Linked DNA regions of Mus musculus. Each later gene encodes a partner of the first gene's protein in a complex. Links are inferred from orthologs where the notes say so. Each region holds a gene or a part of one and is shown in the gene's direction. Other genes may lie near its edges.

Region 1 (3,743 bases):
CTTTTGGACGTCTGTGGGTCCTCAGTTTCTCCTTTGTGAACTGAAGCCTTACTGATAGACTGTGCCACTATTAGGGTTCTTCCAAAAGAACGACCTCTGTCTCCTGAAGTGGGGGTGCTTAGGGCCCTTAGCTGCTAGAGCTTCGGGAGAGGATGCAGACCACCCAGGAGAGGGTCAGGGCCACCGGGACCCCCACAGGACTGGTTCCCACCTACCCTCCTCTGGGCTCGGAGAACCCTCCCCACCTGTCCCCAGGGGCCTCGCAAATCCGGGAGTGGATCCTCCTTGGAACGGATCCTCCAGTAGGAGTGCGGCGGGGCGAGGAGGAAAACCCGGGCAGGATCCGCGCGAGAACCGGACGGCGCAGCCTTCCCCCCCCCCCCCCCCCCGTCCCCGACCCCCGACTCCTGCTGGAGTCCTGGGTCCCGGGCGCTAGTGGCCTGCCCGCGTGGGTCAGACGCACCAGGAGGGCCGGGGTGGGGTCCGCCTGGGGCTGGCAGCCGGGGCGCGCTGCCTCCGCAGCGGGGCGCGGGTCACGTGTGAGGAGGGGCGAAAGTCTCCGAAGCGGGGCGCGTGCTGCGAGTTGGGAGTTCTCGGCGCGCCGCGGGCGGCGGGAGCTCAGGCTCCCGGGCGAGCCGGGGACGCGGCGGGGACCGGGTCCCAGACGGAGGGGGCGGCGGCGGGAGTGGGAGGGACGCAGACAGAGAAGGACACAGCCGGCCGAGGAGGCGGCGCGGGGCGAGGCTGAGCCCGGGCAGGGGCCGGAGCGCGGCGACCAGGTGCCACGGCCCCGCGGGAGGAGAGGCGGCACCGGGGCACAGCGGCGGGGACCTTGTGGCAGGCGCGAGGTGGCCACAGAGCCAGGAGACCCCAGAACTGAACAACGAGAGGGTCGTGGGGCTGTGGGTAACAGCGGGCAGTGGGGCGCCTTGGGCCCCTGGACCCCTCGACCCGAGCCCGGGCTCCACGATGCTGCCGCCCGGGCGGCGCCCAGCTCTTGACGCGGGGCAACGCTGAAAGTTACGCAGGGAGCGGCGCGGGACAGCGCGGAGACCCCGAGACCCACAGAGGCCGCCTGGGTCAGTGGCGACATCGCGGGCAGGCGGCGCCCGCGTCCCAAGCCCGGCGCCCCGGACTCCGCCCGCCGGACTGCGCCGGGGGATGTAGCGGACACTCGCCGCCCAGACCCTCCTCGGACCTTACGCCCCGGGGTAAGCTCGGGCTCGTCCATCGCGAGTACTCTTCGTCCGTCTGTCCGTCCCAATGTCTGTCTAGCTCAGAGAGTTGTTTGTCCTGCCGCTCTGGCCATACCCGTCCTGCACTTATCCATCAGACCCGATTCCTGAAGGGTCCCAGTGTGGACCTGTGACTTCCCCCAAGCTGGCGCGCTCCGTTTATTTGGCCATCAGAGCGTCTCCTGTGGGTTGTGGCTGGCAATAGAAGGGAGATGGATGACAGAGATTTGACCTCCTGCCCTGGCGACGGCCCTTCTCTGCCCCCGCCCACCTCCATGCCAGGAGCTGCGAGGCAGGTGACTTGCAGCAAGGTGGGAAGGGGGCGTCTCAGCTTCCCACCACCCACCTGCAGTCTCCGTGAATGGTTCGGAGTATGACAGAAATCTCCCTTCTGCTGTGTTAAGCACCTGCCTTGTGCCAGATAACCCCAGGGTAGGTGAGCCGGTAGTAGCTGAAGGAATGAGGTAACAGTAAATGGAGCATTTCGGGGATTAGAGTGGTGGAAACTAAGGCTGTAGAGAGAGGGGCAAAGATGCTTTTTCTTCTGCAAAGGGGAAACAGCAAAGAGTCATGCCGTGGGCTCTAAGCAAGGAGAACTTCACCACCACCTGCAGAATGCCCACTAACCAGGTCAGCCTACTACTGCCCCCCCCTCCCCCACAAACTATGCAAGGGGACTCAGACTTCAGGGCAGGGAGCTGTAGACCAGCTTGGCAGGCAGCAGTGCCCTCTAGGCACCACACAGGGTGGCTGGGCTGCCCTAACAGGGAGGGCCTCAAGAGGGGGAGAGCTCCAAGTAGTAGGCTGAAGGACCTAGGGACCAGACGAGGTGTCTAGCCCTGGACAGAGAAGGGCTGGATCCAGGGATCCAATATTCACTCCACCCCCACTCCCATCCATCCCTGCACCTTGCAGGACTGCTAGGAGTCCAGAGCCATGTGTAGCCTTGACTTGGCTTCTGAGGGGAGCAAGTGGAGAAACAGGACAGTTAGGGCAAGTGGAGCGGGAGGACTGAGCCTGGAACATTCTGCTCTGCCCTCCTATGGAAGAAGGGTCTCTTTCTGAAGTTTTCCATACTGGGCATCAAGGCTCGTATATCCCTTGGTCCAGGCTTCAGAAATGAGACCAGCTAGTTGAGACACTGGGCAAGTTATGCTCCTTGAGCCTCTGCCAGCACATCTGTGGAATGGGGACACCAGACCTGCCCCACTGACCTCCAATGCAGGGCCTTTGAGCTCTGTGAGCAGAAGACTCTTGGTAGGCTGAAGAGAGGGGTGGGCAGATGGGGGTGGGGGTAAGAACTCAGTTTACTTTGAGGGAAAATAAGTAGTTACCAGTGGCAAGAATATGGCTGGAAATGCAGACTGACAGTAATGGAGGTGTCTAGGCATAAGTGGGGGGACCTGGGACTTGGGCGCTGTACCTAATGTTACGCTTAAAGAAACATCTTCCTAGGGGAAAAAAAATAGAGGTGACTGGCCAGACAGAAATGTCCGCGGGCTCCCACTGGGGTGACCTTGGGCAGTTAGCTTGACTTCTCTGAGTCACAGTTTGTACCAGTGGAGAATGGGACTTCATGTCATTGTCACTGGCTTGCATACAGTGTCAGGGCCCTGGGAAAAGCTTGCAGAGCCAAACCATGCAGGTTCTAAAGAGACATTTGTGGATCGGAGGACAAAGTCACTCTAGGATGCTGTGGGAAGATTTTGGGGCTTAGGATGAGAGGGAGGGGGAGGAGGAACTGTGTGGGCTTACACAGGGCGGGCTGGTTCTTAATGTGGATCTGGGGGAGGCGGGGGCGAGTGCTGAGGGGGGTGTGAGGAGGAGGGGGCCCCCTCTGCGGGGACCACTGAGTCACGAGGACATGTAAGCGACATGACAACCAGCAACGTGGTAACCAGGAAACAAGCAATGGGAACGAAGCTGGAGCAGTGTGTCGTGGTGGGGGAGGGCAGACTGGCAGCACCCAGGCTTGGAGGGTCCGTGGTGGGTTAGGCTGGTCGGCCTGCAGGGGGTGCGGGCCAAATAGGCTGGGTAAGAACGGAAGTGTAAGAAGTGACAGGAAGCACCCAGGGGCTCAGCGGGGCAGGGGGCTTCTCTGGTCCCTCCCCGCTCTTCTTTTCCTCCACATCCCCACTCTTCATGCCTCTCCCCCTAGGATGCCAAATTTGGCTCACGCAATCTGTCGTCTCTCTTCTGAGATTGGCACGGGGATGGAAGCCGAGTGCATTACATCAGCGCCTGATCCCCCTGCACTGGGGGAGGGAGGGGAAGAACCGAAGACCGACCAGGCCAGGCTGGGATTGGAAGGGCAGCAGCCAGACTTCAACTTCCCTGCTTGTCTCCTGTTTGCTCTTCTTACCCTAATCTTAGATGTAGGGGGAGTTTGGGAAAGGCCATGACGAACTTAGAGGTGGGACCAGGACTCCAACTTTGGGGAGGTTCCATGACTTGGGCAGGAACCAGTCAAGCCCTGTTGCTGTCTCCCTGGCTAATTGGGACCAAAGA
Region 2 (3,743 bases), on another chromosome or scaffold:
TTAGAAAAATAGCTTGCATTTTTTGTTATAGGAAAGGCGACTGGCTAAACCTGGTGTAACTGGAACTTAGCTGATTTCACTCACGTGGGAAAGCAGTGGTTAGTGGGAGGGGGTGCTAGAAGAGGACTCTTACCCAATCCAGCAAAAGCAAACAGACTTGCAACTGGACCTCGGCCCTGCCCCCTTCCAGACGAGCCACTTCTGGCAGAGACAACTAACTTCTCTGTGCTTCAGGTTTTTCATTAACAGAAAGTTAGCAGTAACATCTCCATTGCTATGGCGAGAATGAAAACACACAATGCCGGTACACAGTGAAAGCTTAGTAACACGAACTGTTACCAGTTCTTAAGATGTTAACGTTAAATTCTCTCATGTATACTCTAGAGGTCCCTTTGGACTTACTAGGCGTTAAATCCAAAAAAATATACAGGCTGTGGCCTCGTACTTGCTCTCCAGGGAGCAAATCTTGGCGACTTCAAAGCTTGGCTAAGCAAGGAACGACAAGGTGTCACACTTCATTTAATCTGAAGAATAATATTACAGGCTCTGTCTTCAGATATAAATTATAACAGTACAGAACAAGCAGCGAATTCCAACAATTTAAAATCTAAGTAAGTCTACCCGGTGTTAATTCTGGCAAGAGCCTTGCCGATCTGTTTTAAAGTCACCCCTGCCCTCATTTCAGTAGACGTGCACCATGCCATAGAGGAAGGTCCAAAAGAGGACGTAGGTGAAGAGGCCTCCAATGAGGCCTCCCGTAAAGAGAGGTCTTCGTGACTTAAAATATTTGTTCCACCTCCTTCCCGCTTTGAGAATGAGGAGCAGGGAGAGCAGGACGGAGGCAAGCAGGTAGAAGATGAAGCCGTAGAGGCCGGTGAGGCCGAGGATGCCGGCGGTGGCCCCGGACAGCGCTGACACTGAGGTCCGGCAGTAATCCAGGACCGCGGCGTTGCCTCGCACGGCTGCCTCGCTGATGAACGGCGGCCCTTCCCGCTTGGCCACCACCGCGGCCATCGCACCCGCCGGGGCTCCGCTTCTGCCTTCACGCCGACTCACGCGGAGCTGTGGAGAAAACCGAGTTACAAGTGGAGCCCGAAGCCTGGCGAGCTGAGCGCACGGCGCCTCCTCCCCCTGGGACCTCCGACGCCGTGCTGGGGGCCTCTGACCTCCACTGCACGCCGAAACTGAGGCTCGGGCCGGCCCGGGACAGCAGCACATCAGCACACGCCCGACAGGCTCGCGGAGTTACCTGAGACGCCGCGGCACACAGTCCCTCGTGTTCCCTCAGACAGGAAAAAGCGGAGAGTCCCGCGCCGCCATCTTGCGCTGGAGGCTGCTGGGAGGGCTCGGTTTGCGCAGGCGCACAAACTCCGCCCCACCCTCCTACGCTTGCGCCTCGGGCGCTCTCCCCTCCCGCCCCACTTCAGCACACAAGTCCCGGGACTCCGGAAAGCCCAACAGCGCTCCAGATGCTGATTGGCTAGAGACTTCTTAAGTATTCATGAGGGGGCGGGCTGAGCAGGGCTGCCCTTTGTTAACCAGGGAGGGCGCGGCCGCGGGCATTCTCGCTGGGGGTCTCACCGGGCGCTGTCTCCTTGACAGATTTCGGTCGAAATGTCCTACACCCCGGGCCAGCCTGTCACCGCCGTAGTGGTGAGTGCGCTTGCGCGGGCTCCTTCTCCTCTTGGCTCACCCCCATTTCGCAGAGCGGCAAACTGACATCTAGACAGGCTGAGAAAGTATAGGACCCGGGGCTCCTGCGTATATTCCGGTGGCCGTTTCTGCTTAACAGTGCTGCAGCCTTCCCTGGCCTGGAGAGGTGGCTGGGACCTAAGAGCCTCCCGGGACCCTGGGCAGAGGCCAGATCCTGTGCACTGCCGCCGTCGGGTGGATACCTTTTACTAGGCGCAGACCGGGAGGACGTAGGAGAAAGGCTGGTCCGCGGGAGTGTTAGAAAACTCCCCTGCCCTGGGCCTCCTGTCCCCAGCTGGGCGGCCGTGGGGGGCGGGCGCCGATGTCCTGTGAGTCGCAGCCTCTGGAATGAGGAAGCGTTTCCTCTGCTCCAGCCGGCACACTGCCGCCGCCGCCGCCGCCGCCGAGCCGTAGGAGATTTAGGGGGTGGGGCTGGCCAGAGTTTGTGCATCCCCCTTCCCGCTTCTCATCCGGCCTCGCTGCTCTTGGGACAGACCCCTCGAGAGCTAAGGCTTGGTCTTCTGAACTTTTTAGGGTACTCAGCCCTTGATGCTTAGTGTTTGTCCTGTGCATGACACTTAAGCTTCTAGACCTTTCCAGGGCCTCCTTCTCGGTTTGTCTTGTGTATCAATCAGGTGTATTTGAATAGGCAACAGGATGGAGGGGTAGATGTTACAGTCTGATGGGGGCGCTGGCCAACCCTGAGCAGCTGAATCCCAAGAGAGAAGCATCAGTGCCCAGTTTCCTAAAAGGAAGCTTTTAGGAAGGACACAAATCACTCCCCAGACAGGGCCTTACTCTTAAGCTTAAACTGGCCTTGAACTTCTGGCAGTACTCCCTTCTTAGCCTTCCAAGTGTTGGAGTCACAGGTGTGACTTGTGTCCACAGTCCTGGAACTGTAGGGATGGGCCTTGTTAGATGGGTGTGTTGGAGGGTGGGGGCAACAAAGCTACTGATAAAGGTGGCTTGGGAGGGTGAGCTTCCGGCTAGGATATCCCAGTTTTTACTCAATTTGTACCAGCCTGATTTTTCTAGGATCCTTCACTGGCTGCCCCAGAAAGATCATCGAGTTTGACCCTATCTGGAAAAGGAGGGTGTAATTAGGACCTAGGGAGAGCCACTTTGCTGCCTGACTTCTCCCTTAAGTTAGGGCTTTGTCTCTTTTTGGACCTTGCTGGTGGAAGTGAAGGAAGGTGTGTGTGGGAGTAAGCCTGGAGGAGCTTACACTTTTGGACAGGAAGCCCCAGGTGAAAGGACCTTAGGCATCGAGGTTTTCCACCCTCTTCCGTCTTGGCAGGAGAGTCAGAGTCTTCCTTAAAGCTGTAAGACCACAGTCCTCCAATCCTAATGCCAGGTGCATGCCTGAACATAAGCAAGCAGAGCTGGCCTTTCTCAGTCTCGGATTGCTCATGGGGTGGAGGTGCCTCCTTCCCAGTCTTACCCCCTCAGGTAGAGTTAGCATCCTGGTTCTGTTCCGGCCATTTTTGTTAAAACCATTTCAAAAGCTGTCCTCTGAACTGTAGCCCCACTGATCTGCCTCCTGGAAGCCTGTGCAGATGACCTCTGACACTGCTCTACCTGGGTCGACGCTTGCATCTATCCTGACTGGTTCTCAGTCATCTCAATCTTCCTAATGCCACACCCTTTAATACAGCTCCTCAAGTTATGGTGACCCCAACCATAAAATCAGTTTCGTTGCTACTTCATAACTGTAATTTTACTAATGTTAAGAATCATAATGTTGCTGGGCAGTGGTGGCGCACGCCTTTAATCCCAGCACTTGGGAGGCAGAGGCAGGCGGATTTCTGAGTTCGAGGCCAGCCTGGGCTACAAAGTGAGTTCTAGGACAGCCAGGGCTACACAAAGAAACCCTGTCTCAAAACAAAACAAAACAAAACAAAACCAAACCCAAAAAACAAAAACAAAAAAGATTCATAATGTTAAATATCTGTTTTCCAATGGTCTTTGGTGACCCCTTTATAAGGGTCATTCGATGCCCCTCAGGGTCACGACCCACAGGTAGAGAAAGACTAGCCATATGCCAGGGTGCT

What was found. Proteins that work in one complex are often made in the same cells at the same time.
Region 2: the proteins of Kcnj4 (region 1) and Tax1bp3 are in contact, whole or in part, in a crystal structure (PDB 3GJ9), measured with the Homo sapiens proteins. The link is inferred for Mus musculus from reciprocal best matches to the Homo sapiens genes KCNJ4 and TAX1BP3. Residues at the interface, in NP_004972.1 of Homo sapiens: Arg440, Arg441, Glu442, Ser443, Ala444, Ile445; in NP_055419.1 of Homo sapiens: Leu27, Ile28, Leu29, Gly30, Phe31, Ser32, Ile33, Gly34, Gly35, Asp38, Gln39, Gln43, Asn44, Thr58, Arg59, His90, Asp91, Arg94, Leu97, Thr98.

What each region holds. Positions count from the first base shown.
Region 1 is NC_000081.6:79,502,664-79,506,406, reverse strand, and holds the start of Kcnj4 (inward rectifier potassium channel 4), read left to right. Parts: upstream 1-1,165; 5' UTR 1,166-1,211; intron 1,212-2,467; exon of another isoform or gene 2,468-2,492; intron 2,493-3,743. UniProt on the Homo sapiens protein: Inward rectifier potassium channels are characterized by a greater tendency to allow potassium to flow into the cell rather than out of it.
Region 2 is NC_000077.6:73,175,690-73,179,432, forward strand, and holds the start of Tax1bp3 (tax1-binding protein 3), read left to right. Parts: upstream 1-1,393; 5' UTR 1,394-1,614; coding exon 1,615-1,653; intron 1,654-3,743. Other genes in the region: Emc6 (ER membrane protein complex subunit 6), read right to left, coding at 682-1,014. UniProt on the Homo sapiens protein: May regulate a number of protein-protein interactions by competing for PDZ domain binding sites. Binds CTNNB1 and may thereby act as an inhibitor of the Wnt signaling pathway. Competes with LIN7A for KCNJ4 binding, and thereby promotes KCNJ4 internalization.